Linked DNA regions of Nothobranchius furzeri. The protein of the gene in region 2 interacts with the protein of the main gene of each other region in a pairwise test. Links are inferred from orthologs where the notes say so. Each region holds a gene or a part of one and is shown on either strand. Other genes may lie near its edges.

What was found.
Region 1: the proteins of rnf40 (region 2) and nuclear cap-binding protein subunit 1 interact in binary tests that used the Homo sapiens proteins (3 or more experiments, as listed by UniProt). The two-hybrid records come from large-scale screens. The link is inferred for Nothobranchius furzeri from reciprocal best matches to the Homo sapiens genes RNF40 and NCBP1.

The regions. Positions count from the first base shown.
Region 1 is NC_091741.1:71,546,358-71,553,271, forward strand, and holds the start of nuclear cap-binding protein subunit 1, read right to left. Parts: upstream 4,133-6,914; 5' UTR 3,995-4,132; coding exon 3,961-3,994; intron 2,337-3,960; coding exon 2,248-2,336; intron 2,176-2,247; coding exon 2,075-2,175; intron 1,992-2,074; coding exon 1,835-1,991; intron 1,755-1,834; coding exon 1,647-1,754; intron 1,193-1,646; coding exon 1,071-1,192; intron 945-1,070; coding exon 875-944; intron 1-874. Other genes in the region: thiosulfate sulfurtransferase/rhodanese-like domain-containing protein 2, read left to right, coding at 4,378-4,503, 4,868-5,154, 5,254-5,362, 5,463-5,582, 5,725-5,830, 5,953-6,068, 6,495-6,653. UniProt on the Homo sapiens protein: Component of the cap-binding complex (CBC), which binds cotranscriptionally to the 5'-cap of pre-mRNAs and is involved in various processes such as pre-mRNA splicing, translation regulation, nonsense-mediated mRNA decay, RNA-mediated gene silencing (RNAi) by microRNAs (miRNAs) and mRNA export.
Region 2 is NC_091756.1:31,893,132-31,898,641, reverse strand, and holds the end of rnf40 (E3 ubiquitin-protein ligase BRE1B), read left to right. Parts: intron 1-65; coding exon 66-191; intron 192-2,550; coding exon 2,551-2,691; intron 2,692-2,830; coding exon 2,831-2,932; intron 2,933-3,217; coding exon 3,218-3,394; 3' UTR 3,395-3,814; downstream 3,815-5,510. Other genes in the region: uncharacterized protein si:rp71-1c10.7, read left to right, coding at 5,246-5,327.

The sequences.
Region 1 (6,914 bases), on a different chromosome or scaffold from region 2:
CTCAGGTTTTGCCTCTGCTGAGTTCAACATTATCATCAACACTGACAACTGTTGTGCATTTTTGGTGTGACAAAGTGTCTTAAAAACATCTCAATGTTTTCCCACATTTCTCACACTTTCTTCCTCAAGGTCACCAAATTGGGAAAAGTTCTACATAGGTTCCAGATTCCCGAGGGAACTGGAGAAACACTAAAGTGAAACTCTGTAACTCAGAGAAGGACATGGCAAAAATGGTAAATGGCCTGTATTTGATATAGCGCCTTCTAGAGTCCTGGAACCCCCAAGGCGCTTTACAGCACAATCAGTCATTCACCCATTCACACACACATTCACACACTGGTGGGGATGTAGCCACAGCTGCCCTGGGGCGCACTGACAGAGGCGAGGCTGCCGAGCACAGGCGCCACCGGTCCCTCCGACCACCACCAGCAGGCAAGGGGGGTTAAGTGTCTTGCCCAAGGACACAACGACAGCGACAGACTGAGCAAGGCTCGAACCTGCAACCTTCCGATTACGGGGTGAACACTTAACTCCTGTGCCACCGTCGTCCCGAAACATCTAAAAAGAAACTAAAAACGCACGCCAACATTTAGGCAACAACAACCACAGCCCAGTGATATATACTGGTTTAACTGATGCTTGTCTTTCTGAACACAAACACATGGACAGATTAGTTATAACGCATACAAACTCAAGTCAATTAAGAAAAAACAACAAGATCAGGAACGGCAAAACTTCAGGACTCATTTTTCATAAGTAGCCTTGTTTATTCTGACTAATTATTAGATCAGAGCTCTACATGGAGGGAATAGTTGCAAACGGAAGCTTTGTGGTGAGAAACACAACAGATCAGAAATGGACTGGGGAGACTCACCTCTTCTTGTGGGTGGGGTTTCTCTGCAGTCCAAACCTGCAGCATGGGAACATGAGTCTTGACTCTTCTCCTGAAAATATAATGGCATTACAGAGCTAAATGTAGAATGAAATTATTTCATTGGATTAAACCATTCTTTCAATAATGAGAATGTAAAACAGTAAAGAATAGAGAAAAAAAAAGGCAGAAGTCTCACTTGAGGTAGCCTTCGATCTGGCTGAGTAGTCGGTCCATCTCAACGTCCTTCTTCTCATAAAGCTCCTTACCAACCCAGGGCAGACAGGACAGAACAACGTACACAAACCAGTCAGACCGAACCTGAGGAAACAAGGAGACCAGTTACACCCCCGTAAGACACACATGTAATGCAGCCAGGTCCATATGAGAATCATTAGTCCCAAATGTGTTGATTAATCATAAATCACGTCATAATCTTATGAAATATATTTGACTGTAATCTGTTAACAATTCTGAACAAATCTGTTTCCCAAATAACTGAATCAGAATGACATAACCCAAGTTCACGTTTACCTTTATTTATTTACTGAATCTTTATTTAACCAGATGAGTCAATTGAGAACTCATTCTCATTTACAACAAGGGTCTGGCAAGAGGCATTAGCAACAGACACATAATTAGCTTTACACCAAAGAAAAACAGATAAGATAAAAACGTTAGACAAAGGACTGTTCTCATATAAAATATGTACAAGCAATTATAACAATCTTTAAGTACTCAGAAGCAGGCATATTGATCAGAAACTGTTGATTACCTGTGGGACATCCTCCTCCTGAGTAACACTCACAAAGTTTTCAAACATGGCCACCATAGAAGGAGCAGCAATCACGTGACAGTTGACCAAGTCAGACAGAAAACGCACCTGAAAACCAAAAATTAACCCATCATGATGAATTTTAAACTCCCTTTTGTGAAGATTTATTGTGTGAAAATCAGCTTTACCAGGTAAACAGCTTCATTGTACAAGTTGTTTTTCAGGGTCTCCTTCAGCTGTCTGATCATGGCCTCCACAAACTCGCCTCCAAAGTTGTAGTTCCTGGCGTTGAGAAGGCCGACCAAGGTTGTGTAGACGGTAAGCTTCTCAGGTAGCAGGCGGGCGCTGTTGACACACAGTGCTTTAGTAAAGTCTGCCTTCTGAATGCCTCTTTATTAATCAGAAAGCAATAACCTATACAAACATACACAGAACATAAAATACGCAGAATTTTGTTTTTGTAGTTTGGAAGATCTGCCTCTAAGACGCCCGCAAGGCCCTCCAAGTTGCTCTCGAGGGATGATGTACTCTGTTAATAACAAAATACAACAGAGTCAAGTGATGGAGATTTCAGAGCATCTCTCTGTCTGTCTGCTCTTACTTTCTCCCCAACACGACATATCAGGGATTCCAGACGATCTTCAATCTCAATAGGTTCAGAAGTTCTCCTCCTCTTGTGAGCTTGACCTCCTGGTGGGTAAAAGAGTCACACAATCAACACATGTTCATAAACTCTGACCGACACCACAGAAAACACCAACAGAATCTGCGTAAATGAGTAATACATGTAAACACTTGCATATTTATTTGATAAAGGTTGTGTTGTGCTAAGAAACACCTAGATTAACAGAAATTAAGCTGATGTTTAAAAGCTTACACTTTTTAATCGAAGCAGTGCCTTTTAGCAACTTCATCATTGTAACCCAATAAAGGTATTCCTCTGTTAAGGTCACCAGACACAGACATCGCCACACCATAACCCAGTGTCCTTGCATGGCATCAGGGGGCAGACAAGTGTCCGAGTTCAGACTCACTCTAGTTCAGTAGACAAGAACATCTAATCCTAATGTTCAAAACAGTATTATCTATTGAAGATGACAGGCCAAGTGTGTGTGTGTGAGTGTCTTGATAAGGCGTAAAGACTTGCGCAAAAGAATGAGCAACACATCAAAGTTGATTCCTTTAACACAGTTTACGGAGTATGAGAAAGTTTCTTCTCCTAACTCACATCAACACATGAGCCCCTTTTTAGATAATTAATCTGTTAGCAGCATTATAAAAGGAGAATGTCAATACTTTAGCAATTATTCTGTTCCAGAGTGAAGTTCAAGGCTTTTAATCCTTGCTATTTTGACCTGTTGAGGACATACTGACAATGAGACATTATCTGCTTGACAAACCTTCTCAGTGGCCTAGTGGTATGGGTCTCCACCCTGCGACTAGGAAATCAGGGTTCAAATCTGGTTGGGTCATACCAAAGACTTTAAAAATGGGACCCAATATCTCCCTGCACTCAGCTTTAAGGGACTGCATTGGGGGACTAAACCACCAAATAGTTCCCAAGTGCAGCCATCGCTGCAGTTCGCTGCTGCCCACAAGGATGTGTCAAATGCAGAGATGTAATTTCACCAGTGTGCGATGATGACTAATGGGACTTTAAATAAAACTGACAACAATGGAAGGTTTCTGAAACATTCACTTGAAGCTCACACATACTTTTAGGCAGTTACATGACTATTTAAGATTTTTCTCATTCCATGTTTTGTTTTCCATTACCAGCATCTGCATATTATACATGGGTTCAACTGTGAACACATTTCTGTACAAGCAAAAGGGAGAAACGTTTAAAAATGGAATACGCACTGCTTTAACAAAATCAATAGGACAGACACTGGAAATCAAATATTTTCTCTAGAATGATGCTTGTTAGCAGTTTAGCTCACCACATGACGTGTCAGGATTAATTTCCGACTCAGTTTTACACTTTTAACAACTTACCAGAAATGATCCAATTATCAGGTTGTGTATCTTTTACTCATTGGTACCGCCTCCATATCAGTTTAGTTAGCCATCAATCAGCTAACAGTAACAGCATAGGTTATTGGCGGTTGTCTTACGCTGTTCATTCAGCTTCGCTGTTTAGTTTTGCACAAATGTCAGCTGATAACGAGTTTGCTCTTTTTAATTTTGATGGAAGCTATCCAAAAACTCCACGTGTATTAGCAAAACAAATAACCAACATGGGTGAAGGAAAGGAAAACACGCTAATGTTAGCCTATTAGCCTAAAGTGTGACTGAATCTCCGCCGATTTACCGTCATTCTCGTCGCTGTGTCGTCTCCGGGACATATTAGGCCACTTTAAAATCCACACAAGACAACCAAAAGAAAAAACCGATATGAAACGAAGCAGCAAGTCGGACGAACTAGCTGATACTTAGTTAATTTAGCCTGTGCAACGCAGAAACCACCGCAGAAAAATAACAGCGGTATGATTCAAGTGGAGAACTTCCGGGGCAGCACGAGGTCAAATGAAAAGTCCGTCCTCCTATTTCGTCCGACATTGTCGGAAACACGTTTGTGACCTTTTTTTCCTCACCGTGTTTGAGAGTTTATGTTTGGTAAGATGGCAGCAAATAAATGTTAGGACAGCAAGGCACGATCACTGTCTTAAAATGTATTTAATTTAGACAAAAAATCGACTAACTGGCAGTGTTTAACAGCTTCGTTAGGATGGAAGCGATTGAAACCGGCTGCTTCATGAATTTGGATGTTGATTTTTCGACAAGTAATGGATTAAAACAGGAGAGACAACTTTCTGCCTCACAAAGAAGATACTACAGTTTCTGCAGAAGAAAGGTGGGGAAAAAACAATGACCGTTTGTTGGCTTTATGATGAGCTAAGTTATAATAATAATGTATACTTTTTTGTGTATTTCTGATTTGAATGCTGTTTTTGTATTGGTGTACAGCGCTTTGTTTGTCCTCCTGGGCATGTGAAAGCGCTCAATAAATAAAGTTGAACTTATATTATGTAAATACTGGTTTATTTAAATAGTTGTAAATGCAGCATTTATTTTATCTGTTTACATGTCTGACAAATGTTAGGTATCAAAATAAAAACAAAATAACCTGCAGCGACAAACTTCATCCCACATTAAACTTAGAATTTTGCACACATTTACTTAAACTAAATGCCATTCGTGCTTCTTCCTTTTCACAGTCATTTGCTGCCTTCGTAGCATCGAAGAAGGAGTGTGCAGGAAAAGGAAGCACATCTTGGTGCTGCTGTAGCCTGACCTTCGTCGAACATGCTGAGATTCACCAACATGTGGCCAAAACTCACAATTCTAGTATACAGCAGCTCACGCAGGCCACATATGAACATTTGCTAAGCCAGCTGGAAAAAGACACAGAAACACAGCAGCTGAAAGGGAAAAAGACGGAGGCAGTGGACATTTCAATGTGGATACCAGATATCAGCCACATCCCTGAGGGTGAACTAAAAAAGTAAACAGAATGGAGTATATACATATCTATATCCATCCCCTTTATAGATTTGATCAGATTTCAACATATGCAGATTGTTTATTTCTTGTTTTTATGAAGTGGTCCTGGGAAGGTTCTGCTCTATTATTGTTACTGTGAAGTGGACGATCCACATGCTGTCTGTGCATGGCAGGAAGCTCTGTGTGAGTCACTTCACCTAACCGGCAAGGTAAGAAAACCCTTTCAGCTAGACTCTAGCACATCATATCAGAAAATAGAGGATTTTAAAGAAACATTTAAGTAGTTAAAATGTCAATCATCTTCTGTAGGTAAGGGTAGCAGCAGAAGGCATCAACGGGACAGTTGGTGGTACCAACGTGGCCACTGATCTTTACATCAATGCAATGCTTTCACATCCTTTCTTCAAGATGGAGAAAGAGGATTTTAAGGTCAGAATTAGAGGAAAAGCAGTCATGTTGCATGTTGTTAACATTTCATTCCCTGTGAGAGCCCAATTTAAACTTTAAAAATGTCTTGAAATCATTATTATTGCCAGTATTTATAATCTTCTGTGTGTTGGTGTCTGTTCAGACCAGTGATGGTGGTGCTGAGTGTTTTAGACATTTGAAGGTCGGGGTCTTTAAGGAGATTGTCCCAATGGGTGTGGATCCTGATGTTGTTTCCTACCAAATGGCAGGTTTGTGCAACAAGTGCTACAGTGAGATCTAATATAGGGAGAACTGCCAAATTTAGTTGTATTTTGCTGTTTTTAGTGGGTTTTTGTTGTCGGGCCAGCTTAATTTCTGTTTGACGTCTCAGGAGTTCACCTGGAACCAGAAGAGTTTCATAAAGAAGTGGAGACTGCTTTGGCTAAAGGGGATTTGTGTAACGACACCATCCTCTTGGACTGTCGCAACTTTTACGAGAGCAAAATTGTGAGTAGTAATTTTATTTTTTAAGCCAAGCAGGATCTTCACTAAAACACTACACTGAGGTGTTTGGTGTTTCATCTGCAGAAACCGATTGTGTTTGATGTGATTCTTATCGTTGTGAGAAATTAAATAAATGCGTCTTTGCGGAACACGTTTAGTCAGCAGCATGTGCCTTATTACACAAGATCCCCGAGGTCCAACAGCTCCCACAATTCACGTGGAAATGAAAACTTCTTTGTTCTGTAGAACTTCACATCTGTGGAAGCATTGTTTAAAATAGATGTTGAATTCAGAGCTTTGTGTCATTTTAGCACTGTTTCTGGTGATTGCTTTGGTTGTGAAATCAGACGTTGGTCTTGGGAGTTTGTGTAATATTTTGTGGCACAAAGCCAGATTGATTCCATGAATTAGATTTTATTTTCTCCTCAGGGACAGTTTACTCAATGCCTGGCCCCAAATATCCGTAAATTCAGTTATTTCCCGGATTACGTCGACCAGAACCTGGAGCTGTTCAGGGACAAGAAGGTCCTCATGTACTGCACCGGAGGGATTCGCTGTGAGCGTGGCTCTGCCTACCTTCGCTCAAAAGTAAGATCGTCATGCGGTTTATTAATCTCTCTTTTTTTGAAAGCTTCTTGTGGAACCGATTTGATTTAAAGGTTAACACCAGAGGAACTTGTGCATGCCTTTTTCCAACGATCTGTGTCCGGATCATGGGGGCAGCAGCCACTTTCACCCCCTCCTCTTGTGGAGCCAGCCTGGAGATCTGATCCCTCCAGTATGTTCTGGATGTTTTCTGGGCCCTCCTGCCAGCGGGACGTGCCTGAAACATCTACCCGAGGAGTAGAG
Region 2 (5,510 bases):
CCATCTTTACATAAAAACACAGCGTTCGTCAGTGTGTTTCTGAGCCAGAATGCTTCTGCTTCAAGGTGGATGCCCAGTTGCTGGTTGTGCAGAAACTTGAAGAAAAAGAGGGAGTCCTCCAGAGCACGCTGGCTGCTCTTGAGAAGGAGCTGGCTGTCCGAACCCAAGCACTGGAACTCAACAAGAGGAAGGTGAGAGCAGCCAAGTCACTAGTCCTCACAGGCCACAAAGCGTATGTTTTTTTTCCCTGTGTACTTATCAAAATAGGTCTAACATTTGCATATTAAAAATCTGAACATGACAATGAAAGAACCTTGCATTACATCAACAACCTGCTGAAGAGGAAAAAAAAATCACGCTAGAGAAGCAGTTGGGGGCTGCACCATGAAACTCTGAGGGCTCTTGAGCCGCTAAAAAACGGCAAAATGTTCTGGTGCGGCACGCTGCACACACACACACACAGCATGCCCCTGGTTGCCATGAGACCAGGAGAGAGAAAGAGTGTGTGTGTGTGTGTGTGTGTGTGTGTGTGTGGCAAACAAGCCCCCACAATCCTGGGAATTTTATGAAGCCAACAGAGAAGTTGTGAAAGCTGCAGTTCCACACTCATCCACTAGGGGCTGGTGCCAGAAGTGAGCAAATCCTCATTGACTCCCATGTTAAAAATGCCATGTTCACAGCAGAAATAAACATGTTTACAGCCTGATTAAAAAAAGATTTTAGGTTTAATAGATCTAGTTTACATTCATGACAACTCTGAGGGGGGTGAATTTTCTTGTAACTCTTCCGTTTAAGTGTAATTAAACGCTTGAAATTATGAATAATTAGATTTGATTGACAGGTTGCAAGAGTGTCAGAGCTAGTGCCAGCGGCTAGCTCCTGTGAAGACTTGTCACTTATAAATCACAGTTCGTGAAACATAAAATACGGCATTCGTGTGAGTCGTTAAGTTCCGAAGAGTTTTTCAGGAGGTGTGGGGTCTGGTTCAGTCTGTCTCTCTAAGATTCCCTTTTCAGAGAGGGGAGGGGAATCCATCTTGTTCACAAAATATCTTTGTTGTAGCATGTCACACATCATCATTTGGCCAATCACAGTCAGAGAGTGATTACTGATTACTTGCTGTGAGAGTATTCACAACATTCATTACTTGCTTCAACATCTCACAATGGGTGGAGTTCAAAGTTCAACTTTACTCATATTTTTAGTACATTTGCAGTAGGAATGGACAATATGGCATAAAATCTATATCACAAAAAATGTTGAAGCACTTGAAATAACAATAAATATCTTGATATGTTATTTTCTTCTGTTTATGTCAAAATGACTGTGGTCCTCCCTGGTAAGGTCTATTCAGGGGTTCTGGAGTGGAGGGTCTGACGGATTGTCGAACCTCAGATTCAGGAGGAGCAATGTGGTTTTCGTCCTGGCCGTGGAACACTGGTCCAGCTCTATACCCTTAGGGGTACCTGGGAGTTTGCCCAATCAATCCACATGTGTTTGTGGATTTGGAGAAAGCATTTGACCGCGTCCCCCGGGTGGCCCTCTGGGGGGTTCTTCGAGAGTATGGGGTACCAGGCCCTCTGATACGGGCTGTTAGGTCCCTGTATGACCGGTGTCAGAGCTTGGTCCGCATTGCCGGCAGTAAGTCGAGCTCGTTACCGGTGAGAGTTGGACTCCGCCAAGGCTGCCCTTTGTCACCGATTCTGTTCATAACTTTTATGGACAGGATTTCTCGGCACGGCCAAGGTGTGGAGGGCATCTTTTTTGCTTTTTGGGTAGTGACTGAATGAACGAGATGGCAGGTACAAGCGGCCAAAATGAGTTTTCTCCATAGGGTGGCTGGGCTCTCCCTTAGGGTGACAAGCTTGGTCACCCAGGAGGGGCTTGGAGTAGATCCGCTGCTCCTCCACATCGAGAGGAGCCAGTTGAGATCTGATTAGGATGCCTCCTGTGAGGTTTACTGGGCACGTCCAACCAGGAGAAGACTTAATGGAAGACCCAGGACACGCTGGAGGGACTACGTCTCTCAGCTGGCCAGGGAACGCCTTAGGATTTCCCTGGAGGAGCTGGCCCAAGCGGCTGGAGAGAGGGAAGTCTGGGCCTCCCTGCGACGTCAACAGAGTTTGTGTGTGAAATCCCTGATTTATAAACACTACCGTCTTAAGACAGGAGAAGGTTTAGCTAGAAGCTTAAAATCTGTATTGAAGACAAAAAAAAGTTATTAAAAGCCCATATGAGCTCTGGGATGACAACAAACATTGGTCCGATTTGCCGGTGTTCTGAGTTTGCAGGTATGATACTGATATTGGTGTTTACACTAATAATCTTAATACCTTTATAATGCAAGTCATTGAGCTTATTTGAAATCTTGTTGTTTGGCAACAAGCGCTACTGAAATATTTCAGTAACCTATGAGCGTTAACATACGGTGAACGACACAAAACTCAGATTCATATCAGTTTGTCCAGATCTACTGCCCCACTTTACCACTCTGAAACTTTCATTGTTAAGTCTCTTTATTGAGTGTTCCCGCTTCCTTCCCCACTGCAGGCGGTGGAGGCTGCACAGCTGGCAGAGGACCTGAAGGTGCAGCTGGAGCACACACAGGGCAAGCTGAAGGAGATCCAGGTCTCCGTGGCTGAGAACCGCACCGCTCGGGAGAGGGAGAGCAGCAACCTGAAACGAGCACAGGTACGCCGAATCCCCACGCCTGGGGATGTATTACCCCAAATCGAATTTAGTGGCTCTCAAGGTTCCGATTAAACACATTTGGTTTTGGTTAAGACATTTAGTTCCAGCTCTAACAACTCTCTTCCTCACGGTCTCCCAGGAGGATCTGTCCAGGCTGAGGCGGAAGCTGGAGAAGCAGAAGAAGGTGGAGGTGTACTCTGACGCGGACGAGATCCTACAAGAGGAGATCAATCAGTACAAGGTGAACAGAAATGTTCTTACTGGTCACAAAAGAATCCAGCTCATAGTGGGAGGAAAACAGTTCAGTTTAGCAAACAACAGTCAAAATACTAATTGCAACAATTTTGTGGTTGTTCTGGAAACTCGGGACCATAAAGAGGCCTTAAGCCTTCTCAGAACCACAGTGCTCTCAGTACTCACACCTGTGACTTGTTACACCCTTAAAGAAACCCATCCAGTCCCTAGAGGTGATAAAAGCTTTGGCATGTCAGTAACAGCCCACACACGTGTATTTATCCATCCTCAGGCCAAGCTGCGGTGCCCCTGCTGCAACACGCGAGACAAGGAGACGGTTCTCACCAAGTGTTTCCACGTTTTCTGCTACGAATGTCTGAAGATGCGTTACGACACCCGACAGAGGAAGTGCCCCAAATGTAACTGTGCCTTTGGAGCCAATGACTTTCATCGCATCTACATCACCTAGGTCGCCCAGCAGTGGAGCAAAGGAAAGAAAATTGAAGACAGAACCAAAGGAGGGGGAAAACATGGAGGAGAACTGAAGATCTATTACACGCTGTAGACATGTTTGGGATAAGGAATGAGTGTATCCCTGTTTTTGAGGAAAAAAAAGACTCGTGTCACATTTTTGTCATTCAGTGACCAAACCTAGTGATATATCTGACCAAGAGTGTTGTGATGTAGTTAATAAACACCCACAGAGCCGTTCTGGTTGATACTACACGTCAGGGCCAACTTTTAAAGCTTTTTAATGTATAGAAAAAGTGCAGTGGAACATGCTTGATCGTAATGAAGTGTTTCTTTGAACGCTTTTGTCCTGCTGGTTATGGAAGTCATTTGAAATCGCTGAAGCTTAAAGTTCTAAATTAAAAGAAGCCATCCCTTACAGACTGGAGGTTTGCATGTTTAAAGCTAAATGTGTTTCCAATCTAACAGCCAGATTTGTCTTACGTCTCTGCTTGGGCTATAGTATTAACAATGCCCGAGAGACATCAGCGAGTCTGGCAGCGGATCAGCACATACAGGAGTGTTTGGATCACCTTGGGCAAGCTGGGCTTGTGTGCATGAGTTCATTATGTTGCCATGGTTCCTGTTGGAGAGGTTGACACAACATCTGCAGCTTATAGTGGCTCATTACTGATGAAATCACTGCAGTGGAAAGTCAGCTCATATGGGTGTTCTTAGTGCAGCTCCAAGTCCCCCTCGAGTGCTTTTATTCCTAAAGGTTCGACGTGACAGCGGAGTACAAAAACATCTGTGCAAAAACATGCCCCCTCCTCTTTTATTTATTTATTTTTTGTTGTTTTTCACTCCAATTTGATGATGTGAAATATTTACAAAGAGTTTGCATAGCGTCTGTTTGACGTTAGTTCTTGTGGGAAAGGCAGTTCACACCACTCTAGAAGTCCCAGGCTGCAGAGATTAGCGGGGAAGGAGAAGAAAGGAAAAAAGAAAACCTGTATTAGGCATTTGGGAACAGTTAGCTCAGACTTCCTGCAGGAATTGGACATCATGTGGTGAAATAACTGGGCATTCGTTTGAACACATTCATATATTTGCATCACCAGAAAGTGCAGATGTATGGTTCTCATTAGACAGTGCTGTGACTGGGGTGAGCCTGATACTGTGTCCACTGGCTTTGTTATTGCATATTTGTGCTGCAGCAGCAGGCTACACCCAAGCCCAGGCATTAATAACACCACCCTGAGTCAGGGACACTGCTTCTATCAGAAAAATGAAGTTTACTTTTATTGCCTTGAATGTTGTTTGGGGCACAAAGTTTCTTCTGAAGTCTGCAAACTTTAGCTTAGAAAGCAGATTATTTTACTGGTGGGTGTCATCTGTTTCTGCCTGAGTTGCTGTTCCTCTCAGACCCCAGCCAGAGACTTGTGTACTTTGGCACGCGCTGGGAATGACGTCGACAGGCGTGGTAATAACAATGAGAACAACATAAATCCGGATCATACAGTGAAAAGGCAAGAAAAACGGGTGGGATGTGAACGTAAATATGAAATATGTGAAACTTCCATGGCTTAAGTGGTTTAGATGAAACTTTCACTTGAAACACGTGAAGCTGCGCGCGGGGCTTCCTGTGCGTAGCGAGAGAGAGAGAGAGAGAGCAGATAGGAAATGACTCATAGGAGTTGAACTGTTTAGCGTGGGTGTGTGCGTTATTAAAGCAAGGCGCAGACTCCTCCGCATGACTCACTCTCTGATGCTCGCTTTTCCATGCTGAAAATCCAGCACGGATTGTTAATCAGATGAACTTTTGGGAACCGTGGTGCCGACAGCGAGCAGCTCTCCATCCGCGTCCAGCATGGTTTCCACCGCTCTTTGCGCACCCTGCGTCTTTATTCTAGCGGCTCTGACCAGTCTCCATGGCTTGAGCGCAGAGATAAGTGAGTAAAACGATCTTGTTTTTTCCCTCACAACTTTGTTTCTTTACTAAAACTGTTCAACGTTTCAGCTCAATGAAGTCATTCTGTTTCTTTTCCCGAGTTGGTTTGAAACAATTGTGTCTTTGTTGTCCTGATGGAGCTCAAGGAGCCCAGATAGCGGCTGTTTACAGAACCGCTTCCTTT